4 linked regions of the Tamandua tetradactyla genome follow. The protein of the gene in region 1 interacts with the protein of each later gene in a biochemical or structural test. Links are inferred from orthologs where the notes say so. Each region holds a gene or a part of one and is shown on either strand. Other genes may lie near its edges. The genes, in order: DLG1, CYSLTR2, KCNJ4 and TMEM178A.

Region 1 (7,357 bases):
GTCCATCAAAATGGCAAAATGTTGATAACTTCTGAAGATGGATGGACAAGTACATGGAGCTCATTATATTGTTTTCTCTTTCTTGCATATGTTTTTAAAAGTCTATAATAAAGCTAAATTTTAAAAAGTGCTCAAGTGTACTGAGGTCTTCTTAAAAATCATTTTTATTCTAAAGCATACTTAGTACAGAGCAACTATTTACCAATGAGTTATTTGACAGGATACACTGACTTGAAAGCAGTTCTTCAAATCACACCAACAATTACTCTGCCAATAGATAAATATAAAGCCACCTCTAATTGGGAATTAGGAGAAAATAAAAGTAATGCAATGATGTATTATATCTTATTTAAAAGTTATCTAGTCAGTGACTAATTATTTTAAAAAAAAATTTATTCTTAGAATTAGAAAGGATAAATCTTCTCCAGTTAAATAATTTGCAAACTTTTCAAGATACCTAGAAGAGAGGGTCAAAGACAGAGCACTTTGTTCTATATATCAGGGACTGGTCAAGAAACGAAAAATTTTGTTTTTAAAAAGGATCTAGCCGCTTTAAAAAAAAAAAAAGGCTTAAAAACCACATTCTACTTTACCATCTGCATTCTACAGCTAATTTTGGCCTAGAAAAGGTTAAGTGACTTGCATAAGATCATTCAGTTAATGGTAACATCAGAAATAGAACTCAAGACCCTTGACTACTGGCCAGTTCTCCTTTGAAACAATGCACTACCTCAAATTTAAGTTACACTTACTAAAACTCTGTCACAATTTTCTTCTCTGTAAAATGAGGTTTAGAGATTATTTAATGATCGTTAGACAAGATCACCTTTAAGATCATTTTCCATTTTCTGACTCTATGAATACAAAGTTTAAACTGATGTCTACATTAAGGAAATGAATGTTCTTAAATATAACACAACCCTTCAAACATTTTCAAGGACTCCAGAGAAATGTAAGTCAAATACAGAACAAAGCTAACTACCTTTTGGGTCCTGAAACACATTCGCAAATTCTCCATCATTTAATAAAGATAAACCTTGTTATCAAAGGCCTCTAAAATAATCATGTTGAAATATTTTTGGTTATTAGATTTTTTGGAAAGGATACTGGTGTATCAAAAATATACAACTCATTGAAGATGTTCAAGTTGTTGAATGTCTGATAGATAATCAAGTATATCATTCTCTTTGGTTTCAAATAACTGAATTCAGAGAAGCTTTAAGACATAACATAGTCATAAATAAACTTTTAATTCCCACCTATTAAAGCCTGAAAGAGGTTGCTCTGAAATATGTTAATAACTCGCTCTATAGAACTTCTGAGCTGTCTGTCCTCAGTTTGGCTTAGTTTCGAGCGATAGTCTTCCAAAAGGTGCAATGCTCTCTGGGTATCTGAGAGAAAAAAAGAGCCTGGTTAAAATTGTATATTTACAAGAAATTATTACACACTAGCTATGCAGACAAATGATTCTGCAAGACATCCAAACTGTTCCCAGAATCCTCCAGGTTAATCTTTACTATGTACATGTAGACATATATTCCCTGGAAGGACGGGAAAATTTTTAAACAGATGTTATTCCACAATAGGAAAAAGGTGAAGATGAGCAGTCTGTAATAAATGTGTACTGGTAACCCGCCCCAGTAAAAGATCTGATCAAAATATTACCAACAGTTTCAGATTATCTGATTTACAAAAGCAGATTATCCACAATTTGTCATAATCCAAATCTTAAATGCTTCAAAATACTAGTACTTAATCAGTATCTCACAATCACTCAAAAAACAGCGTTTAGTAAGAATGGCAAGCAGATTTTTGTGGAGAGTTAAGGGGGTGGATTTATTGCCTTTCTAATGGCTTAGAGAGATATCAAGGAAGAAAGTTTAACATTTAGGTGTTCCCATCTCCTGAAGTGATGTGAGCTTAGATTTCCCAAGTAGTAAAGCTAGGACGGTACTGTCTCACCAAACTTACACAAACATTTTTAAAACACAGCAATCACAAAACAGCTATACGGAAAGGTGACACTCCAAAAGAGAGTTCAGAAATAAATTCTCACCTTGCTTCCGGACCGGCATTGTTCTCCAGAATCAGGAAGAGGGCACGCACCTTTAAAAACACAAAACAGAAAGGAAAAAAAGAAAGAAAGTAATCGTGGTTAAGCCACCACTTTCCCTTAAATCGAAAACCTCCCAGCCCCATCTGAGAAGCCTACCTTGCAAAGTTTTCCCAAATGAAAGGAAGAACCTCAAAACCCTGCGGTGTCAATCCTAGGTACCACTGCATATTAAGAGCAGAAAGAAGTGCATTCTTCGAAATTCTTCTCTAAAGCTTCTCCCTCTCCAAAGAGCACTAAATGCCTAGACGTGGGGCCATTAACACTCCCAACTAGGCAAAAGTATCCAGCCTCCCCATCTACTACTTGGGGTCAAGAAGCGCTCCGACCCTTGTTGGCCCCTGAGCTAGCAGCGGCCAAGGAGCGCTCCAGTAAGGGACCAGCTGGGCTGATCACCCCGCCCCGCTGGGGCCCCCAAGCTCTCACTTGCCTTTCTCCTTGCCCGTTTCCTCTGGGCTACTCCAGTGGGGGCCGGACGGGGCAGCTGCCGCTCTCCGCGACGTCCTCACGCCCCACATGCACGCCTCCGCTGTACCCCACACCTGCGGCGCGGCCACAAAGTTCCTGCGAGCGGTGTGCGCTCGGAGCCGGGGTTCGCTCTAGTTGGACTCCAGGAGGCTCCCCAGCCCTGCCCGGCTCCACGTTCCCCCGCCCCGCCCGGGTCTCCAGTCGCTAAGGTGAGGGGGTGAGGGGACAGGATAAGAGCTCCCGCCTGCGGCCGCACTCCCGCAGCCTCTTCCTCCTCCTCGGCCGCAGACGCCGCGTCCTCAGTCGCCGCGGCCTGCTAGCCCCCACGCCCTCACCTCTCCCGGCCGCCCCACCCCCGGAAACTCGGCTCTTTCCGCGCCCCCAATCTCTCTCCCCCCAAACTTTCCGCCAAGATGGCGGCCTCGGAGCCGGACTGCTGCGCCCCCACGTGACTGCTCTCCCGGCGCTCTCAGCCAATGGGAAGTGAGGAGGCGGCTCGCGCCGAGCTCTGGGCTCTCAGCGCTGCTACCTTTGGGTTGGAGGGGGAGGAGAGCGGGGAGGGAGCTGCGGAGCGCGAAGGGGTCGCCGAGAGCGTCTCGAGTGGGCTTACTCATGTAAAGGGGCGGGCTCCGAAGTGGTGCTAAGGACGAGGGAGTTGACGTACAGGCTCTACAGGTGGTCTAGGTGGCCTTGAAAGAGCTCGCCTTTACTTCTCCCTAGCCCACCGGTGCGCCCCGCGGTTTCTGAGCTAATGTCGTTGTCAGGCCCGAAAGGGTCGGGGCGTTAAAGAAAGACGTGACTTCACACCTGATCCTGGGCACACATTCCCAGACACCCCTTAACCTCACCAAACACGTGCTGTTTCCAACTCCACGACATAAGAGTGCCTGGCGCCCCGCAGGATGGATCCCTATTCGGGGTGGAGCAGACTGTGCCACCCATGTTAGGGGGCGGGAAAGGGAGGGAACTAGAAGCGGAATGGGGGGGAGGAGTTAGGGCGGGGTGCCACCTTTACACTGCTCCACTTTGTACTGTTTTTTTTTCTGTTGCTCTTCGCCCCGCAGAGTTTGGAGGCTTTTAATTAAAGAAGAGGCTGCAAAACAGGGAGATCGGTAAATACGATTAAAGTTTGAGAGTTTTAGCAGAGGACGTTTACATCTAAGTATGACTGCATTTAAGGGTAAGTAGAGAAGATGCGTTCATTCATTCGCTCACTCTCTCACTTCCTCCATGCCAGCTTCCCTGCCCAGTCGCTAGTCTCAGGTATTACCCAAGCTCCGCCAGCCCCTTTAAGAGCTCACCTGTAGCCACCTCCTCAGAGAATGAGCCAGCCTCAGCCTGCAAGGCTGGTTTAAGTTTCGCACACACCTCAGAAGGAAACAGAGGGAAGGCTGAACCGCCTGAGCTGAAGAAAGGGAATCGCAAAAAACTCTTCAAGTTGTTACCGAGGTCTTCGAGCTTCCTCTGGATAACAGGAACCTCCCTTCTCTGAGATTCAGAGAGGATTTGCTCAGGGTCACCAGAGCTGGTGACAGGACTAGAAACCTGGAGAGCCTGTCTTTCAAAACCAAAGACTCTTCCAAGTAAACCTAGCAACCTTTCACTGAAGCTGTGTTCATGGGATCATTAAGGGAAGTCTAGGGAACCTTCTGTACTGTAACTGTAACAGCTGTTCACAGGTATACTGACCACTGGGTTTTACTTTCGGATTGCACCTTGGAATCCTAACTTGTCAGGAAAACCCAATGACTTTAGAGCTCATGTAGACCCACTCTTATTTTAAATAAAGAAATTGTGAGGGAAAGCAACTTTCCCAAAGACATACAGGGTTGTGACAGAGCAGCCCCAGAACTCAAGTCTCTTAAGCCCCAGTCAGGACTCTTTCCACTGTGATTTTGGACAACTGGATAGGTTGGTATATTGGCAGCAGATCGTTATGCTCTTCTGGATCAAGCATCATGGGAGCTTGAGTAACAGCAATATTGCATAAAGAAAATAGGACAGAAGAGTGAAACGGGGATCCTAAAAGCAAGAAGCTTAAATAAAGAGATGGGGTTTTCAAAATAGTGAAAATGAATGATGGCATACATGCTATTATCAATACGTCATTGATGAACTGTGAATGTAATGATAAGAAGAAATGTAGCCTAAGAATAGAATCTCTTCAGAATTCAGGAGAAAGAGGGAGGGAAATTTACCCTTCTCCCTCAAAGCCATTCATTGTTCAAATATGTTCACTTAGTAGGCAATGGGGAAAAATTTTAAGTTCCAAGTCCTGCTAAGGATCCACGGTCTAATAGCAAATAGATAAATGAGCTGTCAATGTCATCCTAGTCCTGCCTTAAAAACAAAGAGGTGGTGGAAGAGGAAAAGGAGAAAAGAGGATATGATACACTTCTTTCTTGCTAACTTCTAGCCTTTGGTGGTTGGGTACTGAACTCCTGCTTTATAATGAGAGATCCATCCTCAAATTTCTATATTGTAAATTAATGGGCTCCCATGTGGGTGTAGAAATACTAACCGCCTCTCATTTACGCCCTTATAAAGTCATACTTTATACTGGTATAGTCCTTCAAACATTGTTCAAAGGACAAATTTAACTCATTTTAGTTTCACAGCATCTTATGGCATAAATTTATTGGTTATGATCTCCTACTTTGCAGAAGAGAACACTGAAGAAGAAGAAAATAACCTCGTCTAGGACACCACGGCTTGCTGGTAATAGAACTGGGATTGATCATTAGTTCATTGTTTGCTTTGTTTTTTAATAAAACAACAACAATGTAAATGTGTGAGGGGGGCAGAAACAGAGACAGAAGAAAAGAGAAAGAGGGTGAAGAGAGAGTCTGAGAAAGTATAAAGAATAAGATATAACAAAGCACAAGTCATGGGATAGTCTGTTATGTATTTATCACATATTTGAATGTCTTTAACAATGAAAGCAATTTTGATGTAAACAGATATATAGCCTTTGAACGCAAAGAAATGAATATCCACACCCTTGTTATATGGTATGTCTAAATGAGTTGGGTTTTTTAATGTAAAGGTATATTTTTAAAACACTCTGCTTCCTTCTCTCCTTCCTTTATCCTGACAAGAATCTTTGAGGATTCATAGATACATGGGACATTCAACCTGGAAGGGCCCTTAGCCACCATCTAGTCCCACCCCCTGAGTTGACAGATGTGTAATGTAAACAGAAGAGCTCCCAAACAGCATCAGCACACAAATATCAAAGGACAATGATCACTTTTCCATGATGGAAGAATACTACTGGCATTTCAGGGAGAATCAATCTTCCTCTATGAAACAGAGAGAAGAGAAAAATTTAGTAATCTTTGCTAAAGATAAATTTCTAAGTGTAACCAAATTTGCCTTTCTGCTTTTGAAGAACTCATGTTATTGGCAGAGTTGTAGGATCCCTTACTAAAGTATTAAGAATTGTGCTGAAATCTCCTTACATGAGATAGCCTCTTCAGCCCTCCGGTGACCGAAAGTATCTGTTCAAAGAACAATTTGGTACTAGTGGTCAATGAGAGGGAGGGGAAAGGGATATCGTCTGTGTGAGTTTTTCTTTTTTCTTTTTCTTTCTTTTTCTGAGTGATGCAAATGTTCAAAATCATGGTGATGAATGCACACTATGTGATGATATTGTGAGCTATTGACTGTATACCATGTATGAAATGTTTGTATGCTAAGAATGTTTGTGTGTTAGTATGTTAAGTTCTATCAATAAAAATGTAAAAAAAAAAAAAAAAGAGCCAATTAAGAAATTTGGGAATCTTTCAATAATCACTGGAGGTTCCTCACTGCTGATAATGACCTATGATGTCCAGTTCTACAGGTTTAAAAAAAATAGGTAGCTTCCCTGTGTTACACTTTCAATTACATTTATAAATGTTTTTATATTGCCAGTATTTTCATAGATACCTGAATAGTGGAAAACAAAGAATTCATAAGAGAAGTGTGACATCCTTTATTTCTCAACAGGCCTCAAATGACTAAATATAGAGTGGGGCATGACCTGAATTCATGGTGAAAAATTGTCTTGGTTCTTCTTAGACTTAGCTGCAACTCTATTACCTTTCCATTCATGTTAGCAGCAACATCATAGGCTAATCATGCATTCTATTCATATTGACTTTGATTTACTACAAATAATTTTATAACCATGGTAAGCTAGTTTTGGCCACCTCTTTGTCATCAAAAGAACTTATTTAAAAGAAGCTTTTGATGTTTTCTTTATTTATCTTACATAAATCAATAGTTGTTTTTTCATTGCACTATCAGTCTTCCTGTAAAATAGTATTGAATAAGATGAAGGAAAATATCTTAATCTAAAATAATGTCATAATAAAGATCATAATTTATGACATTCTGCAACAGTTCTATCTTTATCATTCCAAAGATTGTGAATTTGTGCATTTATAGAAATCAGCTTGTGAACTCTAAAAAGTTGCTTTTATATACAGATGAAATAAATGCTAACAAATAAAAAAAAAAACTAGGAATAATTTGGGTAGGGCTCCTCAGTGTGATTATCTTTTTTAGGCTGAAAGCACAAACTTGGATTTTGAATAAGCACTATTAGAATTTTAAGAAGTCATTTATAAAAGTGATCAGACTTCAACTAGAGATATGAATGAAGCTGATTTGGGTAGGACTAAGGTAAATCAGAATACAGGGTAAAGGATGATATGGTCAGTATTTTAAAACATCAGCTTCTGTGTGAGACCAAAGGAAGGGATGTTTCTTTGGTGCAAAATTTATATTGGG
Region 2 (7,883 bases), on another chromosome or scaffold:
TGGCCTGTCTGTTGCTGTGATGACATTTCATGGACTTAAATCAAAAGCATGTTGGCTGCATCCACAGCCGATTGCAGATGCTGTGGGAATGTCTCCTGCAATGAGTGATACTTAATCTAATCACTGGAAGGCTTTTAAGGAGAATGCAGAAGAGGCAATCATTCTTTCTGCTTCAGCCAGCCAGCCTCTCCTGAGAGTTCGCTGAGGAACTTCATTGGAGCTGCCAGCTCACAGCCCACCCTACAGATCTTTTTTTACATTCCCTGCAGTTGTGTGAGACACTTTTATAAATCTTATAGATATCTCCTGCTGATTCTGTTTCTCTAGAGAACCCTAGCTAATACAATCCCTAACTACTCTTTCTCCCACTAGCCACATGCCATCAAACAAATCTCTTTTGTTCTACCTGCAAATGGTAGAACCAATCTCCATTCAAACTCTTTTCATTTTTGGAACAGAATACTGCAGTAACATCCCAACTGTCTTTCTGTTTCCACCCTGGCTGCTCTACTGTCAAGTTTTAATGAAAAAAATCAGATTATGTGGCTCCTCTGCTCAAATCCCTACAGTGACTTCCCATCATTCTCAGAATAAGAAGCCTTATCATGGTCTACAAAGACTCAGTTGGTCTCCTCCTATGTATACAACTCATCTATCACTCCTGCTAGCCAGGCAAGCTTCTTTCTGCTACACTGGGCCCCTCTGCTGAGATGCCCTTTTGCATTTATTTCCTCACTTCATTCAGGTCTCCGCTTAAATGTTGCCACCTCAGAGGGAACTTCCCTGACCTCCCTTCCTAAAAGAGCTTACACAGACAGACACACACACACGCACGCACGCACGCATGCACATGCACACATGCACTCTACCCCCCTACTTTGCTTTACTTTGCTATATAGTGCTCATCACTATCACTGCTTCACATAATATGATATATTTCTCTGCAAATTATTGGACTCCATGCAATATATTTGGCTAGAATTCTCAGACTTCTTAGAGTTCTGGCTGGACCATACCACATCCGAAACGCTGACTTCAGCCCCTGGCAAAGCCCGCAGACTGCGCCTATTTTCTTCCAACCCCTGGCTCCTTTAGGCACTATGAACTACCTCATACTTAGGCACATGGACATTTCAACCCTTACATGCAGAACGCCACCCCTGTAAATAGAACCTTTGGCTACCCCTAGAATTCGGAGCTATCCAAATCCTAGGCTCTGACACCTAAGGGAGAGGCCACACAGCCCTTGAGAACGCTTGATGTGGGAAGACTCAGGTATCCAGAGCACAGTATAGGAAGGGACGTTGGGGGGAAGGGGACACCCCTCTTAGCCCCAGACTCCCAAACCTCTGGCAGTGGGTCAGGACTGCAGGAAGCCCAGCAAAGTGTTTCTCTAAAAAATGGGCCACGCATGTGGCTCCTCATGCCCAAATCTGAGAGATGGTCTGCATGTATGGCCTGGTCACATTTCATATTAGTTGCCATTTTGCTTTCTTCCTATGCCCCAGCCAAACTGAACTATTTGCTTATTTCTGAAAATAAAAGTCACTATTTTAGGGCCTGGGAGGAACACTGAATAGTAAACAGTAAGTTTATTTGTGTAGGAAAGAAATAAGCAAATGCTTCCTCAAAAATAAAACAGGAAGTTTATGTATGCATGTATGTATTTATTTATTTTGCTTTGTTTGTTTGAAATTTGTTTCCTGAGACTGGAATAATCCTTAAAAATTATCTAGTTCCAGTTCCTTCATGATGCATAGTCAAGGGGACACAGCTAGTTAATGTCTCATTAGGCCTAGAACCAGGGTAGTGTCTGGAAAATCTCGCCAACAACCCATAACACCTGACCATCCTGCCCCTTCGCCTAACTTTTTGTCCTCTATGGGCCCAAAGGTTACAGACCCAGTGACTCTGCCAACACCCTCATCTGAGGTCTCCTCCAACCCTGGAAATCTCTGATGCTCGCAACTTGTCCCATTCCTCACCCTGGCCTGTTGCCAAGAGCCATACCTGTAGCTCCCACAAGTGCCAACAACTTTGAAATTTGGGGTAAATAAAAAGTAGATCTACCTTGCAAGCTCTGGTCCACTGCTGCTGTGAGGATGAAGAAGACAGCTCTTGGAACCATTCCATGCATGCCCCATAGCTTCCTGACAATGACCACAGCAAAGGCGGTGCTGTGATCCCATCTTCACATTACAGAGCAGGAAGTGAGGGGAATAGTTCTCCAGTGCTGCTTCTTCATGGAGCTGTGGAGATGAGGCTGGGGGCAAGGCTGCTGCTCTGAGGTTCTAATAGTTGATTAACCCAATTGAAAATCCATACTGTATGCATATGACCTTACCAATCTCATCTTTGGACAAAAGAGCTTGAAAGAAATTTCATTTCACAATAAGTCGCAGGAGGCTTTCATTCCTCTCCAATTCCCAAAGACTAATGTCCGTTTCATTAAAATAAACAAAATGAAAAAAATATTCAACTCCACATCCCCATAACTAACTCTCGCACATCAGGTTGTCCAGAAGAACATGACATTAGTTTCAAGAGTGTTAAAAGGATGCTGAGGAAAAAATCTCTTTATTTTTCTACTTCTAAATCTGTGAACATTGGGGAAAGGAAAAATCGCTTTAAGACTTTCTTTTATTTCCAGAACAGTCCATAGGAAATAACTTCACTGAAATGTAGCCATTAGAAGCATTTTCTTTGTACAACTGAGACATTATATAAAGCAATGAAATCTCATCAGATTTGCCAGGATGGAAGGAAAATGTTATGGCTTTTGAGGAGATAGGCAAAGAGTCAACGATGTTAAAAAGAAGATAATCCTGAGGGAGCACAGAAATGAATCAACAATTTATCTAATTTGACTTGGAAGTATCACACGGGAAAAAGTCCACAGAATTAGAGTTCCAGAGAAATGCAGCATACAGAAGGGAATCTGATGGACCAGGTTACTTTCAGATCTGTAATTCCTCATTGCTCCCTTCTGATTTCTTCCAGTGCCTCAATGGTGCTGTCATGAGTCCTGTCCATTGTGACCTCAAGGCTGCCCTTCAGTCTGGGCAGGTGAGGGGCGTCTTCACTCCTGACTCGGTGTCACCTACTCAAGGTGGCAGGTGGCCAGGGAAGAAAACTGAATAGAGACTCAAGAGAATCAGGTCCAGCCTCAGCCATGGCTGGTTGTGTGGCCTTGGAAGCAATTTGATGCCTTGGGGACACTTCCATGAGCTTCCTGTATGTTAAGTGTCAAAAGACTCTGGGGAAAGAGAAGGGAAGATGATTTAAAGATAAGACCAGTCCCTAAGATCAAGGGGTAAACTTAGTCTCTTTGTATAAGAATCATAGTGCCATCCCCAAAGACAACATTTTAGTGTTTTCTCTTCTTGACATTTTTCTATGCCATTGTTGGCTCATTTGTTACTTCCTTTTTCTGACATAAGTTTCCATCCTGTGCTTTTCCCATTTACACTGTAACACAAACATTTTCCCATATCGGCATAAATATTTAATGATTGAACTATATTCCATCAGGAGATGCACCGTAGTTGGGGGAGTAAACTACTTTGATGTTATTATTATTTTTTTTAATCTCTTGATGCACGATGCTTTTCCCAAATTTAGAATGATATATTGCTATGGATGGCTCTAGGTTAGTTTCAATAATAGAATGTATGAAAGGAGTTTATATAAATGAAGTTTAACACAGCTGGTGAAGGAGAGACTCGTGAGAAAAATGGCAAATGAGCTACAAAAATTAATCCTAAAGAGTGTTCTATTTTACTGGTGTAAGTCTGAGTTTGAGACCAGAATTTTAAGCTCTAAAGGATGTGGTCCCAGAGAGCAACCTCCTTTAAGGCCATACCCCAAGGGCAGGCTCAGAGCCATAGCATCCTGGGATCCCCAGGAGAGCCCACCAGGCTTTTTGTCCCAGAAGCCATGGGTAAGCAGAATCCATCCCCTCTCCAACCTCCCTGTGCATGCACTCAGGTATTTAAACAGTAGTAGCAACAACAGAGGGAAGTGATGGCCCCAGCAGGGCTGCTGCCCCTCCTCCTTTCCAATCTGTAGACACAAAGAATGACTCAGCTTGAGCACCAAACCTCAGGAACATGTAGAAAGAGAGATGTGGGGGAGGTGGGGGACAGGACAGGTGGAGGGGAGATTGGTTGGAAACAATATAACACAAGTTGAAGACCCTGAACCAGACTGCTTCCTCTGATTCCTCAATCCCTGAAGTTCTAAAGACCACCAGGCTGGCCCAAGGCCTGAGCCTGCTGGTCCTGAGATATGTTCCTTGCTTTACTTCGATTCTGCTTTCTTTGGGGCCATGTGGGGTTTCACCCCTAAAGGCTGCATAGCTTAGATTTCCCTATGGGCCCAGCTTCTGGCTAGATTTGGTCAGAAAGAACTGACAAGAGGTGGGATGATGAGGGAAGGAGGAAAGAAGTTCAGGTATTTTTTTCTCATCAGCTTTTCAGGGAACATTTCTGAGAGACAGTTGTGTCTCCTCTGGTGCCCCAGCTCTGTCAGCTGTCCCTCCAGCCTGGGTCTCATCATGGCTTGTGTTCTGCTAGTCTCTGGGCATCCCACTTTCTCCTGTTGGTCTCTCAGCTCTTTCAGCATCCGTGCAAACACTTCCTGCTTTAAACATTCAGAATGGGTTCTGTGTTCCTGCTTGGACTCTGACATCTATAATACCAAAGCCTTCGTGACCTGAGGGATGGGCTCCTCCAACGAGCTTCTCAGCTCTGTGAGGGGCTCTATGAGGAGCTCGTGTCCAACACTTTCGAATATCATGACAGTCAGCTGCTGGGCACCTCCCATCTGCCAGGCCCATGCTGGCACTTCTAAACCCATACCTCATGCAACCATTGCAAGATACATTTGATGACATCTAAATGATAAGAAGCTAAGTTTCCTCTAAATTTCAAAGATGCTAAGTAACTATGCAATTTCCAACCATTAGCAAATGTTAGGAATACAAACCACAAATGCCCTTGACACTCCAAATTCATCTTACCCCTATTAGAAAACGTTTCTTTATGAACAGGAACGATGGGTTTCCCCATCGCAGGGCTTAGCATCTGCATGATGTTCACATTCATCTGGCATCACTGTTTCCTTAGAGCATCACACTTCCCTCCATCTTAACAGCCCCGAACATGGAGGCAGCGGGAGCCTCTTAGAATGGGCATGCACAAGAGAAATGACACAAGCTAATGGCCCAAGAAGACAAGTACACGAATTGCTTTTTGCATTTAGTTTCTCAAGAATTCTTTGCAGTAGCTTTAATAGCAGGAGACTTCAGAATTCCACAATGCCCAGGAAATCGCATTATTTCATTCAAGTCATTAGGGAGATCCCAAGCACCAAAGCCAGGAGGAGCTGTCCAGACCAGACAATTCACTTTGCTTTCCACAGACAAGCCTTTAGGTTCACATTGAGGGAAGCCCAGGGGACAATTAGCACTACCTTCTGGTAAGGAGGAGGTGAGGCTGGGGAAAGAAGGGAGCTGTGCTGGGGAGACAGGTCTGGGTTCTGTTCTGGTTGGGTAAAAGGAGGTAGGTAGGCAAAGCGCTGCAGGATAGCAAACAGATGGGAAACACAGAGCCGAGAAGTCGTTCTTAAAGTGGAATTTCCCACACTCCAAGCACGTTTGTATTTATAAATTCAAGGCCCTCGTGTATATAAAAAGACTCTCTCTGTTCTGAACATGTTAAATAATTAGGAGCCTGGGAAGATGAGACCCCAGGAAATCTCATGGGGTATGTAAAGGAATCAGCTTGAAGTAATTCCGCTCTGTACTAAAAGGTAGGAAAGAATAAATGAGTTTCTCCTTTTAAGCCAGAAGCAGAATGCCTTAGGTGTCTTTGTTTTCCCATTGTCTACTCTGAGATGGCTCATACTGTGGGTTTCTCAATAAACTTATGCTGATTGCACAGAGGAATGAATGAATCTTGTCAACCTTACGAAATGTATCTATGTTCCTCCTTTCCTTCATTCTTCCTTCTATCCATTAGCCTTCTATGCTTCTATCAATAGGCATTAAGTAGAGTTGTACCAGTCCTCTTGCTGGATCCAAGGACAACTGGGCATGAGTCCTACCTTCAAGAGGTTCATTACTTAAGAGAGAGAGAGAGGCAAAAGGCCTCTCTGCAGGCAAGGCTCTGGAGAAAGAAACGGTCAGTTCTAGCACCCAGCTAACACCCCAGATGCCTCTGTGTGTATTACAGATGAATGTATATAAGCTGCAATAAGGCAATGCCTTCTAAGAATTAGAATTACAAAAAGGAGTCCCTTCCTCGATTAGCTTCAGCCCCCACTAGGGTTCACCAGTTGCCTGTGGAGCAGAAGGTGGACTTCCACCCCACACTGATGACCTGGCAGCTCTTCCAGAAGGAAAGGTAGCAGAAAAGACTTGCCAGAGGCAATGAGGGACATGAACCAGGTCTGGGAGAGAAGCAGGTGCCCCTGGTAAAGAATCCCCAGCAGAGAGAACCCAGTAGAAACTCCAGAATACTCTGCTAGGAGGTTCTGTGGACCTGAGCCTAGGGCCAGCCTGGCTCTGATTCCCAGCTCTGTGTATGTGTGCAAATGACTTATATTCTCTGAGCCTTCTTGCTCACTGTGAAATGACAATAATGATAATGTCGCCACATGGCGGAGTTGTTCTGAAAGTTGAGTTGATGACATGAAGTGTTTAGCACAGGGCCTAACAACAGGGAGTACATTGTATGAAGTTTGAAGGGGTAGATAAAAAGATGAATTACAAACAGAGCCTACTAGCAAGGAGCTGAAAAACTAGTTGTTGGGATAAGACACATACATGCAAATTATGATCTGAGTAGAATGTGAAAGTTCCACAAAAGAAACGGATTAGCTTAGACACCATTAGCATTGATTACTGTTTTAGTTTCCTTGGATGCTCAATCAAACACTGTGCAATGGATTGGCTTAAGCCATGAGAATTTAATGGTTCACAGTTTTGAGACTAGGAGAAGTCCAAATCAAGGCATAAACTAGGCAATGTTTTCTTTCCAAAGACTGGAGTTCTGGGACTCATACCAGTGATCCTTGGCCCTTGGCTCCTCTGTCACATGGCAATGCACATGGGGCCTCTCCTGGCCTCCCATTTCTCTTCTGAATTCCATTGACCTTCAGCTTTTTGCTTCCCATGGCTTTCTCTCTCTTTGTCTGAATCATTCCACTTTATAAGGACTCCAGTAATCGAATTAAGACCCATCCTGATTGAGGTGAGCCACATCTTAACTGAAGTAACCTCATCAAAAGGTCCTATTTACAATGAATGAACATTCACAGAAATGGATTGAATTTAAGAACATGTTAATCTAGGATACATACAGCTCCAAAGCACAACTACCTTCTAAGCAAGGTTTGGAGAAGGTTTGGGGAAACGCAGACTATGACATAGATTTATTGAAAATAGGTTGGAATAAAAAATGGGTAGGATTTATATGCAAGGGGAAGGATGAGAGTGATGACTGTTCTGTCTAGGTAGCATGGAGTCAGAGTTTTTGAATTGTGGGGGTGCAGGAATAGGGATGGGGACAATTACCAGTTCTCTCAGTCTGCAGTTTTTTGATTCATGGCTTTCTCAGTTGCACACATTTCACACTGCATGAAAGCAAGCCTTCCTGAGACTATAATTTCAAATAAACCTCTCAAGGAATTTCTACTTCCCTATCAAGAGTAGACAAACTTAACTATTTACTATTTGGTACTTAGAGGAAGCTGCCTGACATTTTTATGCCTGTTTTAGTCCCTCTTTCCAACTAGATCATAGACTTTCCTAAGTAGTCTTAGCACCTCGCCTGCTAAGACTACACATAGTAGATGGTTAATAACTGCTGGTCAAATTGAAT
Region 3 (6,522 bases), on another chromosome or scaffold:
GGCGGTGCACGGGGAGGGGCCACATCTCCTTGTCCTGCAGGTAAAAATGGCGGGTTTGGTGCCTCCATCTCTCTCCATTTATAGGTATTTACAAAAGAAAGACATGAGCAACAGGCGACAGTCATGCAAAAGAAACGCACCCCTCTTCCCCCCTCCCCCCAAACGAACCCTCTGCCCACCCACCCCCACCCCAGCGGTCCACTCGCCTTCCGCAAGGTTCTGAGAGCAACAGGGGGTGGGGGGGGAGGTCCTCAAAAGGGTCAGTGGGGAAAGGGTGGTGGCTCTGGGGGGCCCGGCGCCACATGTGGGTAAGGGCTGGGGAACCAGGCGTCCCGGCTCTGGGCCAGGCCAGGGCTCTGGGGTCAGCAGGAAGGGGCTCCCCAGTCCTGGGAGCCCCCACCTCCCTCCAGGAGGCCCACGGAGCCAGGGCCAGCGCTGTCCTGCGTGTGGGAGGGGGTGCCTCCCCACCCCACCCCCACCCCATCCCCGCCCCGGGCACAGTCGCTCGTGGGGAGCGCGGCGGGCGGGGCCGGAGGTCAGATGGCCGACTCCCTGCGGTAGGAGATGTTGTCCAGGGGCAGGGTGGCCTGCATGCGCTCCAGGTCCAGGTGGCTGCCAAACTCCAGCATGCGGATGATGCCCGCCTCCTCCTTGGAGCCCGCCTCCAGGCCCAGGCCCGCGGCCACGGCGGCGGCGGCCGCGGCCTCCTCCTCCATCTCCTCCTCCTCCTGGCTCATGAGGGCCAGCTCGTTCTCGTAGCAGAAGGCACTGGGCGGGGGCGGCGGGGCGGGCAGCACCGTGATCTTGCTCTCCTGCAGCTCCCGGGCGGAGCAGCAGGGCGTGCCGGCCACCTCGTACGTCTTGTGGAAGCGGGAGTAGTCCACCTTGTAGTGGCTCTTCTCCTCGAAGACCACGGGCTCAAAGCGGTGGCCCCACAGGATCTCGCTGGCCAGGTAGGAGCTGCGGGCCTGGGTGGTCATGGCCGTGGCCTCCACCATGCCCTCGAGGATGACCACGATCTCGAAGTCCTCCGACTCCAGCTCCTCCTTGCCCATGCCGTACAGCGGGCTGTCCTCATCGATCTCGTGGACGATGATGATGGGCGACACCAGGAAGATGCGGTCCAAGCCGATGTCATAGCCCACGTTGAGGTCCCGCTGGTCCAGCGGCAGGTACTCGCCCTCCTGGGTCATGTAGGGCTTGATGAGCTGCGCCCGCACGTGGGCCTCCACGATGTGGCTCTTGCGCAGGTTGCCCACGCGCCACATCAGGCAGAGCTTGCCGTCGCGCACCGAGATCACCGCGTGGTGGCTGAACAGCAGCGTCTGCGCCCGCTTCTTGGGCCGCGCCATCTTGGCCATGATGGTGCCGATCATGAAGGAGTCGATGACGCAGCCCACGATGGACTGGACCACCACGGCGATGACCGCCAGCGGGCACTCCTCCGTCACGCACCGGAAGCCGTAGCCGATGGTCGTCTGCGTCTCCACCGAGAACAGGAAGGCGCCCAGGAAGCCGTTCACGTGCATGATGCAGGGCTTCGGGGCCGCCGTGGCCGCCCCCCCTGCCGCGGCCACCGCCGGGCCGGCCTCCAGGTCACCGTGGAAGAAGGCGATGCACCAGAAGAGGAGGCCGAAGAAGAGCCAGGAGACCAGGAAGGCCGCCGAGAAGATCATGAGCATGTAGCGCCAGCGCGTGTCCACGCAGGTGGTGAAGATGTCCGCCATGTAGCGCTGCGACTTGTTGCTCAGGTTGGCGAAGTAGACGTTGCATTGGCCGTTCTTCTTGACGAAGCGGTTGCGGCGTTTCCGCCGGGGCACGTGGGCCTGCCCGTTGCGGCTGTGCCCGTGCATGTCCTGAGGCCGGCGTGGTCACCTGGGGAGATGCAGGGCCTGGGGAGGAGAAGCCAGACGCATGAGAGGCTGCAGAGCCAGGGGCTGCCGGGGAGGGTGCTCTCTCCCAGAGACCCAGGGAAACTGAGGCTGGGGGTGGGGGGGGCGACAGAGACACTCAGAAGAGGAGGGGCTTGGACTAGAACCTGGACTTCCTCTGCCCAAGCAGGCAGCATGTGACAGTTCAGGGTGGCTCTGGGGATGGGAAAAGTGCCCCTGGGGCTGGCCCAACTCCAGGATTGGGGTCCCCTGGACCAGGAAGCCAAGACTCTGGGGTCTTGGGCTCAGTGCCAGCCCCTCCCTGCTGCCTGCTCCAGCCCTCCCACGCCGGCTGTTCCAGGAGCTTCCTGATGCCCACTGGCCCCATTCCTACCCTTCTGCCTTGCTTGGCCTCAGCACAGGGAGCCCGGGACGCACTGGCTCCCACTTGACTTCAGCCTCTGTCCTCTTGGAGCTCTCAGAGGCTTCACAATCTCCTGCGCCACCCAGCGTGGTAGCCAGAAGCCACCTGTGGCTCTTCACATTTGAACTGAACCGAATAAAGTTTACCCTTCAGGTCCCCAGTTGCACCAGCCACATGTAAATGCTCCGGAGCTACCAGTGGCTGGTGCTGCCTTACCAGACAGTGCTGGGACCTGCCACACTTGGATCCTTCCCTCCCGTGTTGCTTTGAGCCCAAGAGCCCCAGATTCCTGTCACTTTTCCAACCTGGTCAGGAGGAGTAATGGGTGGAGAGGACAACGGTGGGGGTTGAGGCAGTGGAAGGGGAGGGACTTGGTTCCTGTGCAGGAGGCATTGCTATTCCCATGTGGCAGGTGGAAAACCACGCGCTTATGGAGGGAAAGTGACACACCCGAGGACACACAGCTGGCAAGTTAAAGATCTAAACCCAGGTGGGTCTAACTCTCCAGGTTTGCAATGTGGAGAGACAGGGAGTGGGGGAAGCAGACACACCCACCGCCCAGTTGTGTAACTTCAAGCCATTCATTGCACCACTCCCAGCATCAGTTTCCAAATCTGTAAAATGGGAATCAGAATCCCCACCTCCCAGGACCTAAAAGGCAACAGTGGGAGCTTGGTGATAGCCAGTCGCCCTCCTGCCTTCCTTCCTGCAGCCCGGGAGGGAGCGGGAGGGGGCAGGCGACAGGCATGATTCGCCTGTCAGTGTCCCCAGCTGTTTAGGCGGAGGCGGCCCCTCACCCGCCCGGCTGCGGGCTGCGGCAGGCGCACCGCGGCAGGCGCACCAGCTGTGCCCATGGAGGGTTAGACCATCCGCCCTCCCTGCCGCCTTTCCACCGGGCCCTGGGAGAGAGATGGCGCTGCCCCGGGCCCCAGCGGCTGGCAGGGTCGGGCCCGGGCCTGGGCTCCAAGTAGCATTTTGGCCCAGAATTATATAAGGCTGGAAGTTTCTATTTTCTGTCCTATTCTTCTTCCTGATCTAATTGTGCATCTGTGGCAATGTTTATACACTTCCCCGTTCAGGACAACTCAGTTGCCGCAGCAACCGGTGCGCGCCAACGCTGTAATTTAGAGATCAACAGCTTCAGAGCCTGCCTCTTCCCGGAGAATCTCCCTCTCCCGCCTGGGGGGGGAGTGAGCCCTGCCCCCACCCTCCCGCCGGGTTCTTTTCCCTTTCCCCTTTGAAGGAGCCCCACCCCGGGTCTGGGCTCAATCCTGGACCCACGTGTGACCTGGACTAGTTGCTTGACTCTCTGACCCTCAGTTTCCTCATCTGGAAGATGGGACCGGAGAGAACTGCTGTTCTGCAGACTTGACAGGTCCCATGGCTCTTGGAGGTCACGACCTTCACCAGGAGGCCACAGGAACCTCCCGTCACCTCCCCAGAGAGAGGCCCAGAGTCCTGTGAGGGGGTTGGGGCCGGGAAACCTCCTGTGGTATAAATAGTTTCAGGACTGGCTTCCTTCCCTAAAGATTTCCCGCTCTGCTCTGTCCCACTGCTCTGACGCCTCCCTTGGCACTGCAGACCGTCAGGGCCAGGGGAGCCTGAGACCACTCAGGCCACAACCCCGCCTGATGTCTGAGGCCAGCAAAGCCCAGGGGGGCCGCGGCCAGAGAAGGGACCCAGAGCAGATCTCTCGGGCCCCCTCCGGAGGGGCATATCCCTTCAGCCTCATCCTCGTCCCTCCTGGGGGTGGGGGGAGGGCTGGCGTGAGGTTTGGGGTGAGGGGAGAGACGGCACCAGTCCAGCACCCAGCCTGGCACTCCAGAGGGGCCGGGACCCCTTGTTTGCAGGTCCGTAGGAGAGGCAGGGGACAAAGAGTGACAGCCTGGGCCTTAAATGACTGAGGACACTGAGGCCCAGACAGGTTTCATTCAAGCCCAGGGGACTATGGGGGAGCCCTTGTCTAGTGGTGTGGGGGAGGGTCCTTCATGGGGCTCCCACCCTCTAGGCAGGGGCCCTGGGGCTGAGGGGGTGAGGGAGATGCCCTCCTCATGGCCATAGGGCAAGGGGGCATCCCTGGGCCTCCCCTTACCTGCACTGCCTACTGTTCCCCAGTATTGAGCTGAAATGACTGGACTTTGCTAAAGCCCCATGTCCCGGGGCCGGCCCCGAGGTTCCCCACCCCATCCTCAGCCCCACCAGTGACCCAACCTGACCCCCACCCCCGCTTCCAACCCCAACACCCACCCTCACCCCAACACTCACTTCCAACTTCAATACCCACCCTGACCCTTGTCCCTCCCCTACTCCTCCTGGACTCCAAGTCCCCACTGCCCCCCTCAGCCCCCACATCTCTTCCCCCTGGGAACCAGTTCGGCACCCTCACCTCCCACACCTCCTCGCCAGGTCACAGCAACCATTTGCTGAGTCCCTGTGGTGTGCCAGGCCCCGTGCTGGCCGCGCTGCCTGGGTCAGCGCCGGCTGGGGCTCCCGGTGCCCCCAGACACATCCTCGCGCCCAGAAATGCCTGCTGGGCTCCACCCCGGAGCACCACAAAGCTGCATGGTGCCCTGTCCCATCCCCTAGGCACACGGCACTCCCCAGCCCTGTCCCCTCCACCGCGCAGGAGCCGGTTGCAGCCCTATCCCTGAGAAGAGCCGCAGCCTGCAAGAGCCCTCCCAGCACCCAGGGACCGGCTCAGATCAATGAACGCTCCGTCGCCTTGGACTTGCTTGGCAGGAACGAGGAGTTCACCTGCCGCCCCACAGGGGTGGGAAGTACAGAGCTTGGCCCTGTGTTTTCGCGTGACAGCTGCTCGAGAGGGTCAGGTTTTCTTCTTGTTTGTCACACGGGCTTCCTCGGCCAGGTGCATGGCCAGAGGGAACCATGCAGGAGAGAAAGGGGCACAAGTGGGGGAAGAGGGAAGAGGGGTGTGAGGCAGCGACAATAATTCAGTACTGCCCTCCCCTGAACAGAAAGCTTTTACTTAAAAAAAAAAAAAAGCCCTGGTTGTTTAGGTGCCTGTATTATGCCATCTACAATTAAATTGTCCTTTTCTATGATGGTCAGAGGGATAATGGCAAGCTCAGGCAAGGTGGCTGAGGCCTGGCTTGGAGGCCTTGCTGTGTGACCTTGAACAGGAACTTCCCCTTCCTGGTCTTTGTTCATGCATCAGCCCCTGTGAGGCTCTGTCCCCGCCCAGCCTCCCTCCTGGGGCTTTTATCAGGGTTGCAGGTTTGGTGTGCTCATGCTCAGGGTTCCTCAAAGTCTGAGCGTGGGCTGCTGGCCCACGGCAAAATGAAAAGGACAGTGGAGTTGCTCTCCTTTACTCTAAGATTACATTCTCAGACTCTATTTTGGAGTTAAATGGTCTTTACTTTAGGAAATGACAGAGAGAGGAGCTGCTAGCTGCTTTTTAAGATTTAATGAACTCTCTTGGCAAAATGAAAGATTGATGATGCTTTGCCAGTGACCACTTTTTTTCTCTTTTAAGTTTACCGTGCTGTGACTGTCCACAAAATCTGGGAGCCCTACTTCATTTGACAACTAGGGAAACTGAGGCCAAGAGCAGGGTGGCTGAATGGTTTCCAGGGTGGCAGCACGGCCTCCCTGGAAACCCATGGCACTGGCCCCATCACGCTCCTGTCCCTTCCCGAGGGGTAGAGGGACCAGAGACCCTACCTGCCAGCAGGCTCCAGAGAAGGTGGGGAGGCCACCTGATGACATTATGACACTAAGTGCACCCTCCATGCTCACTCCCTTGGCACAAGAAGAGACCTTAAACTGGCAGCAGGTCCCAGTGCCCCAGGCAGGCGTCAAGGGCAGCTCTCCCTCCCTCACCCACTCCCTGCTCAGGGAAAACGGAGTATGGGGTGGAGTATGGGGCAGGAGGTGCATTTCACCAGGGCCCTGGAGGTCCGAGACTGGCCTGTGGCCTGGGGAGGAGGGAGGAAGAGTCAGAGGCCTACACTCAGGGAGCACTTCACTGGGGTCAGGCCGCCAGGCCATGGTCCATCTCATTTCACCCTGCCTGAGCCTTTGAGCTCATGGTTATGGGATTGGACAACAGAGGCCAGGGAGGTGACTGACTTGTCCAAGGTCGCCTGGCTCAGCCCTGGGTCCAACTGAACCCATCACTCCTCACTCTGGAACTGCTCTAAGGAACAAATGCTGAGCGAGTGCCAGCTCCCTGACAGGCGCCGCCTCAGCTATCTCTTGGAAGCATCT
Region 4 (7,541 bases), on another chromosome or scaffold:
GAAAGGAAAATGTTAGTGGCATCTTCCTTCCTCGGATTATTCATAAAATCACAGAATTTTAAAGCTGCTAGGGGCCAACCCATTCATTTCATAGATGCTGAAACTGAGTCCCAGCAGAGGTATGTAGCTAGCCCAAGGTAGGGTTGCAGCAATGTTAAAAGCACCTGAGGCATTTTAGCCATCTCCAAAGCAACCAATTGTGATCCTCTAATGTACTGGTGTCCATCCTTTCCTCTAAACTCCTCATTTCTCAATAGCATCAGCTCATTAACTCTCCAAGAAATTAAGTTTACATGGTTATTATTACAAATATGATAGATTTTAGAACTAAAAAAATCCTAAAGAACTGTCAGCTCTCCTAGTTCTCCAGTACAAGAAACTGAAAGTCCAGGAGGCCTGGTCAACTCATTTGAAGACACACTGCCATTTAGCAGCAGCAGCAGAGCCAGCAAAGGAGCCCACGGGTCTTCTGATTACAACCTAGACCTCTTTAGAGTTCTACACAAAGAACTGGCTAAATACCATCAATATTATAAACCTGAGTTTTTTTTAATCTAAAATATGCATTTGTGACTTATACAATCTAGTTCCTTAAAATTGTATGTGAGTTCTGTCTTATGGAAGTACTGGGCTGGACAACCATCTGTCAGAAAGATGTAGAAGGGAGTTGAGCAATGGATGGGAGGTTGAATTCGATGTACCTCTAATGTACCTTCTACCTCCAAGATGACTTGATTCTGGACTGCCCAGGAGATATGCACCTCAGCTCGCCATGAAGCTCCCAGAGGTGGGGACTGTGCAGTCTCTTGTGAAGTCCCTCCCCTGCTGTTGGGTTGGTTGGAGTCTGCCCTGCTTCTTCCAGACACTACTCTATATCCAATTTACATGCAATCATACACTCTAGGCAAAGAAAGAGTGTAAGGAAATGCAGCTCTGTCATTTCCAAAGACAGACTACTCTGCTTAGCTTTCAAAATTGCCTTGCCTAAATGAGCATTCCATAACTGAGCCTCCAAATTCAGCTTTAACAGTTTGCTCATGTACTATGCTACTATCAGAATTAATTATGCAGTATCTTCTTGAGGAGAAATCAGGTTTGGATACAAGGTAGGAGAGAAAAGAAAAAGGCGCACTTCCCAAAGGAAGGTTACTGCATCCGATTCCCCTAAAAGTGCTGGAATCCTTCCATGCATAGACAGATTTTGGATGGCAGTCCCCAACTGAGCTAGCCACGGATAGAAGGAAGTTGACATGTTTGAAAAATGAAGAAATGCCAGCTAACAAGATTCCGTAGGCCAACATATTATTAACCCCTCCTTTCTATGTAATTTCACTCCAAGCTATAATTCAACACAAATCTGTTCGTTTGCTTTTAAGCTCCTGAACAACTACTGTATTAAAATGCACTGATCTGGGACTTTTTTCCTTTTTTGCAAAAATAAGTCCAAGGGAAAGGAGGCTTAATAAGTTTTTATCTCAGAGAGCAACATTTTATATTAAGGGTCAAGTTCTGAAAGTTAGAAGGAAGCCTTACACACCAGACTGCTACATTGAATATTTTTACATGCATGAGATTATAAAAGAAAATTTCAAACTATCTGCTTACTGGCATGGGAGGCAGGTGTAGGATATATTCTAGAGAGCAGATTGATACTCTACAACTCAGTGCTAAATAACAAACAAAACAAACAATAAAAGCAACCATACAAGGTATCACAGCCATAAGACAGAGTGGTTCTATAGAAACAACGTGTGGAAGTCTGGAAAGCCCTATTTTAAAGAGCTTAGGCAGGTTCTCTCCCCCCTCCCGCTGAGACGCCTAGACACCGATCGGTGCGAGGGATTTAACCAGGAAGGCTGAAAAAAAGCCGGTGTCCTATCTGCACACAGCCGCCTCAACTGACAAAGTAAGGGCACCTAAGGTCAAGTGCACACACACACACACCTTGCACCTCGGGTGTGCGCAGGAAGGCTCCTCGGGCCTTCTTAGCTCCCCAGTACACCTGACCGCCCAGCTGAGACGAATGCTGCCAACCCCGGCACGATGCAAGAGAAAAACCTTTCCCCTCTTTTGAGGTTTGCACCACTTTTCTTCCAAGGGTCATTTCTAAAAGGAAGGCATAACTTGAGCGAAGGAGCCCGGCTGGGGAAGGTTCAGTCTTTTTGATTGCTACCCTCAAGCAGCGTCAACGAAACACACACCTGCGTTCCAAGTCGGGTTACAAAGACAGCGAAGGACCCAAGGAGAGGAAGGAGAGGGGGTTGACAATCGCAGGAAAGAAGATAAGGGGGCAGGGGAGGACGGGGTTGTGCAAAGGCACGGACTTGAGGGAACGGGGAAGGAAGATGAGGAGGAGCAGATACGGGAGGAACAAGGGGGTCACGGAAAGAGAGAAGAGGGAGAGAGACCGAGAGTCGAAGGGAGGAAAGGGAAAGAAGGAAGGGAGAAGGGCAGAGAAGGCGGCGAGGAAGGATGAAAGAATGTGCCGGGAGCTGAGCGCCGAGCCGCGGCGGGGGAGGTGGCCGCAGGGACCCGCGCGCCCTCGGGGAGCCGCGGGCTGCGCTCCACGCGCTGGCGCCCAGGCTGCGGGGCGCGGCCGCCGCTCACCTTTCAGGATGAGGGTGTCGATGTCCCGGTCGATGCCCAGGAAGTAGCACTTCCTCCAGAGGCCCGAGTAGGTGGCGAAGAGCGGCCGGCCGCACTCGGCGTCCAGCCCGCCGAGCCCCAGCAGCGAGCGCCAGGACTCGGGGTCCGCGCGCCCGGGGCCGCCGGGGAGCAGCCGGCGCCCGAGCGGGGGCGCGTCCCGCAGCGGCAGGTGCGACAGCGGCATCAGGCGGTTCTTCTGGTCCGGGGGGTCGGCGCCGGCGCGGCTGCGCTCGCAGCCCTCCTTGTGGCGCCGGGGGTCGGTCTCGTACCAGTGGTCGGTGAAGATGGCCGTGACGAGCAGCCCCAGGGAGCAGAGGCTGAGGCCGAGGCTGAGCGCGGTGACCAGCGCCCGCGGCTCCATGGCTCTCCCGCGCCGCCGCCAGACACAATGCACTTGGCCTCGGCGCTCCGCCGCGCGCCCGCCCGCACCCCCCCACCCCCGGCCGCCCGCCCTCCCCCGGCCTCCCCGCGCGCCGCGCCCGGCCCCGCCGGCTCCCGCGCCCCCTGCCTCCGCCCGCCCTCCCCGCCCGGCCCCGCGTCTCCCCGCGCTGCCCCGCGCCGCGCTCACTTTCGCGCCCCCCTCGCCTGCCCCCGCCCCCTGCCGCGCCGTGCGCACCTCGGGCCCCGCCCGCGCTGCTCGCCCCTCTCCCCACCTGCAGAGCTCCCGGCCCGCCCTCCTCCCCCGCGACCCCCTGGCCGCCCTCACTCTCTCCTCTGCCTCCACTTTCCGTCAACTCTCTCTCCCCTTTGCCACTTCTTTTGTCCCTCTCTCCTGGACTCGTGACCCTTTTCTGTCTCCCCCACCTACCCGGGAGCTCACGGCCTCCTGTTCGCTTCGCTCCGATGACCTTAAAAGACATCACCCACCCTCAGCAGACTCAAGCTTGTCACTTGTTCAGTTGATTTCGGCCCGCGCCCCCTTTGGTTGGCAGGAGGCAATCCCTTCCAGGGCGGGCCGCGTGGCGCTGGACTCTTTGGGGTCTTGATCCGGGGCTAAGGACCCTTTCTCCTGCCGCCTCTGGGACCCCTGGCCGCGACCATTGCTGTCGCTGTCCCTCCCACTCGCCCAGGGCAGCCCCTCAGCATTCCTTCTGCCCAGCCCCTCTTCTGAAAGAAAAGCCTACCGAGGGTCACCGGAGCTCTACGACGGCCAGCGATTGTCTCCACTTCATTTCAGCCTCCTCTGAGATGGACTGCTCCTCCGTTGACCACCTCCCTCTGGCACCAGAGTGACGGCCTCTTTGACGGTCTAGAGGCGCTCGGGGTCAGTAAGCCTTGCAGTGGCCCTGCTCTGTGAGGTGATTATTGCCTTTGAATAAGGCAAACCTCCAGTAATAAATCAAAGTAATGATTTTCTTCTGTGCAAGTTTCTGCATGGACTGGGTGGGTAGGCCAACAAGCAAGCCATGCTTCGCACGGAAGTCAACATTTTAGCTCCATCCTGTTCGATCACAGCACTGGCAGTTCCAGCTGTGGTTTCTGCGAATGGCAGGCGGATTCACATTTGCTAAAAAGGAAATGTTAGGACCCAGGGACTGAAAGAGTTCATTGCTTGATGCTGGGTGGTCTTTATAACAGAGGTAAGATACTCTGTGCCACTCAGGTCCTTGGCACCACTGTCTGAGAATACCATGCTGGATGAAGCCAGAAATGGCAATTCTTGTGTTCTTATGCTATGGAATATTAATGACCAAGAGATTATGAGGCATTCATTAGATGCTAAATGTCATTACTCCACGATTTAATGGGACATATTAATTAGTGCCCCACACTGATTGGCATTAATGTGATTTATATATCTCCTCTTGAATGACATCTGTAAGGTGGTATAAGAATCTTGCTCGGATTTATTTTTATTGCTGTTTGTGTTCAGCATCCTCAGAGGGTATGTTACCAAAGAAGACAAATTTTCCCCCTTGTGAGCTGTCCAGTTCCCAGATAGATCACTTAGCAAATCTTTCAGTCATAGTGGACCCTGGTGCCCATTTCTGCTGACTGGACAATGTGAATTATTGCTTGGGTTTTCTCACAGCTTCAGCAAGATCTATGGTGAGGTCTAGTCTAATTAAGGAAGACAAAGAATCATAATTTCAGCGTTCCTCTCACCGATAAGCTTTTCCTTTGCAGGAAATGCTAAACTCATCAGATAAGTCTTATCTGGATTTATACAAAAATGATGAGACTTAGAAGCCTTCTTTTATTTATACTCTATAATATGTGTAAAATCCTGGATCTTTATAGATATACCCAGAGAGAATACCTTTAACCATGAGTTCACAGTTGGCATCTGACATTCACTCAACTTAGCACGTGTCCCTTTATTTTAAACTATCCTTTTGAGGTAAAGTTATTGCAAATCTTACAAGTCCAAGGAATCTTTAGCAAGTCCTCACCCCCATTTTCAAACATGGATGTACTGCAAGAAACAGATATTCAAAATTTCAGAGTCCCCTGATCATCCACATACAGTAATCCTGTCTCCACCTGAAGCTAGAAAGAAACCTCTTTTTCAGGCACTTCTGTTTTAATTTAAGAGAACATAGTATTCTGCCTCATTTTCCTAGTCAGAAGTCTTTGATCATAACCTTCTTAGAAAATAGCATTATCCTTGAAGTTCATTTATATTTGTGTTTAAAACCAGTCTCGGCATATAATCCAAAGGTTACTATATGATGGATTACTCTTGACAGTATTTCATAAAAAATGTCACATGTTACAAATATGGGCCAGCTGTGCGTAATGAGCACGCTGCCTCTGCTGGTGCAGCATGAATGCCCTCGCCAGTGATGTGCCATAAGATGTGCACACAGGCTTTGCTACAGCAACTGCACATTGCTTTCATTCATGTTTTAATTTTTTTCTACTTTTGAATATTTCCAACAATGAAATATCACCCACTCACCTGCACTAGGTAAGGGGCTTGGGAATGCAAAGATGAAAAATGGATCCCATTTTTAAGATGTTCCCAATCTAGTAGCGTGTGACAGACACCTAGACAGGCAAATTCTATAATGAAATAGGAACAGTGTGTTATAGAACTCAGATGATGAAATGACCAGCTGCATGGGCAAGTCAAGGAGACTACATAGGACAGTAACTTCTGAGTTAGTTCTCAAAGGTTGAATTAAACTTTGCCAAAAGGATATCAGCAATATTACACTGGCATTACATTCAGAATATACTTCTTTGATATGTTTCTACTGCACAAATTTGGAGGCTTCAGTATTTTGGACCACTGTAAAATGAGTATTTTTTCCTGCATTTTTAAATCATGAAGTTGACATGTTCTAATGACTACCAGCTAGCTACTTCTGATGAGCTGAAGCAGAAGTCTAAGGCAGCATACTGTGGATGAGGGAAGTTAGCCTGGCAGGGAGTCAAAACGATGTGAGATCAAATATCCAGCCAGAACACTTGGCACGTCTCAGCTTTGGCTATTCCATGATCTCAACATTTTCAAACTTTGCCTGCTTTTCGATTGTCTTAAATTTCTCTTCTATCTCCAGACCTAATATCCCCAGTGCATTCCTCAGAGAACAACAATGTCCTAAAATGACAGGAATGGAGGCAGAGAATTTCTACTTGTCTTACCTTATTATTGAACTCAACATGACCAAACTAGACTCATATATTTCCCTGTGGTCCAGCTGTCCCTCTTAGCCTGTCTCTCTCTCCCTGTCTCTCTCTCCCTCTCTGTCTTTCTCTCCATCCCTCTTTTCTTCCTTCCCTCTCTCCTCCCTCTGTCTCTCTCTTCTTTCTCCTGTTGACAAGTCACTCAAGTCTCTCAGAACCAATATTATAGAATTAACTATCTCATTCACAAACTCATTGGGATTTCTCCTTTGAAATCTCTTTTCTATCCATTCCTTTTTCTGTATTTCTATCCCTGGCTATTGCCATGCCTTTGTTATCTCACAACTGAATTACTATTACAGCTTCTTCCTTGGTCCCTCTAATTCCAGATCAGCCCTTCCTGTAGTTATCCTGGTTACTGTTGCCAAATGCATCTTCCTCAAATGTTACTTTGTATTACCCTTCAGCTTCCAACCCCCCTTTCTAGGCTAAAGAGAAGATCCACTATATTACTCGAGAGTCCTTCTTTGTTTACTGCAGAATTCCCACAGCATTTAAACATCCCAGCCGATTTGTGGGCCATGTTTAAATATTTAGAAAACAAAATGCTTTTCCCTTCTCCAGACACACCCTAATATCTAAATGCTTTATGACATCCATTTTATTTCTCTTTACATTCATGAAATTCCTTAAGTAAATATATTCCTTATAACAAGGTCCACGCACGTGCACCCACACACACACACACAAAGATTTCCAGTTATCACGAGCAATGGCAGTGATTTATTGACATACCTATACTAGACAAAAAGGACCTTCACCCTTTATGCCCAGTGCTGAGACCAAAAGCAGTGTCTACTTTATTTCAAACATTTGGATTCGTTAGAATTCAGACTGTGCAGTCTAACCAAAACCACACACGGGTTTTCATAAAGAGTGAAAATTTTTCTCAGTAATAACAGAATTTTTTTTTCTTCTGGCAATTATGTGGTTGATCTACAATATGTCATTTCTTCTGCAAATATTTGAGGTATCTTTTGTTAAAGTCATCACTCTCGATGTTTTCTCCTAAAACAATTTCATTTTAATTCAACACCATATACTGGACACCTCTAGGGTAAAAACTATTGTACTAGGTCACACTGGGTTATGCCAAGATGGATAAGACCTGGCTGTATCCTTGGAAAGCTTTAGGTTAATGGAGGAAGAAGACAAAAAGGCAAGAGGCCACCATGTGGGGTAGCAAGGATGAGTGCTGTGGCAGAGGCAGGGACAAAATGCAACAGGAGCACCTGGTACAGAGCGGTTGCTTTCCATCGTGA

What was found.
Region 2: the proteins of DLG1 (region 1) and CYSLTR2 interact in a test that uses a peptide from one of them, tested with the Homo sapiens proteins (2 studies listed by IntAct, with this or other methods). The link is inferred for Tamandua tetradactyla from reciprocal best matches to the Homo sapiens genes DLG1 and CYSLTR2.
Region 3: the proteins of DLG1 (region 1) and KCNJ4 form a complex in vitro, tested with the Homo sapiens proteins (2 studies listed by BioGRID and IntAct, with this or other methods). The link is inferred for Tamandua tetradactyla from reciprocal best matches to the Homo sapiens genes DLG1 and KCNJ4.
Region 4: the proteins of DLG1 (region 1) and TMEM178A interact in a test that uses a peptide from one of them, tested with the Homo sapiens proteins (2 studies listed by IntAct, with this or other methods). The link is inferred for Tamandua tetradactyla from reciprocal best matches to the Homo sapiens genes DLG1 and TMEM178A.

Annotation. Positions count from the first base shown.
Region 1 is NC_135336.1:16,123,597-16,130,953, reverse strand, and holds the start of DLG1 (disks large homolog 1), read right to left. Parts: upstream 3,018-7,357; 5' UTR 2,544-3,017; exon of another isoform or gene 2,515-2,543; intron 2,356-2,514; exon of another isoform or gene 2,213-2,355; intron 2,107-2,212; 5' UTR 2,076-2,106; coding exon 2,057-2,075; intron 1,392-2,056; coding exon 1,260-1,391; intron 1-1,259. UniProt on the Homo sapiens protein: Essential multidomain scaffolding protein required for normal development. Recruits channels, receptors and signaling molecules to discrete plasma membrane domains in polarized cells.
Region 2 is NC_135330.1:109,569,927-109,577,809, forward strand, and holds the start of CYSLTR2 (cysteinyl leukotriene receptor 2), read right to left. Parts: upstream 3,008-7,883; 5' UTR 2,071-3,007; intron 1-2,070. UniProt on the Homo sapiens protein: Receptor for cysteinyl leukotrienes. The response is mediated via a G-protein that activates a phosphatidylinositol-calcium second messenger system.
Region 3 is NC_135333.1:30,788,888-30,795,409, forward strand, and holds KCNJ4 (inward rectifier potassium channel 4), read right to left. Parts: upstream 1,855-6,522; 5' UTR 1,854-1,854; coding exon 537-1,853; 3' UTR 503-536; downstream 1-502. UniProt on the Homo sapiens protein: Inward rectifier potassium channels are characterized by a greater tendency to allow potassium to flow into the cell rather than out of it.
Region 4 is NC_135343.1:10,996,055-11,003,595, reverse strand, and holds the start of TMEM178A (transmembrane protein 178A), read right to left. Parts: upstream 3,008-7,541; coding exon 2,608-3,007; intron 1-2,607. UniProt on the Homo sapiens protein: Acts as a negative regulator of osteoclast differentiation in basal and inflammatory conditions by regulating TNFSF11-induced Ca (2+) fluxes, thereby controlling the induction of NFATC1.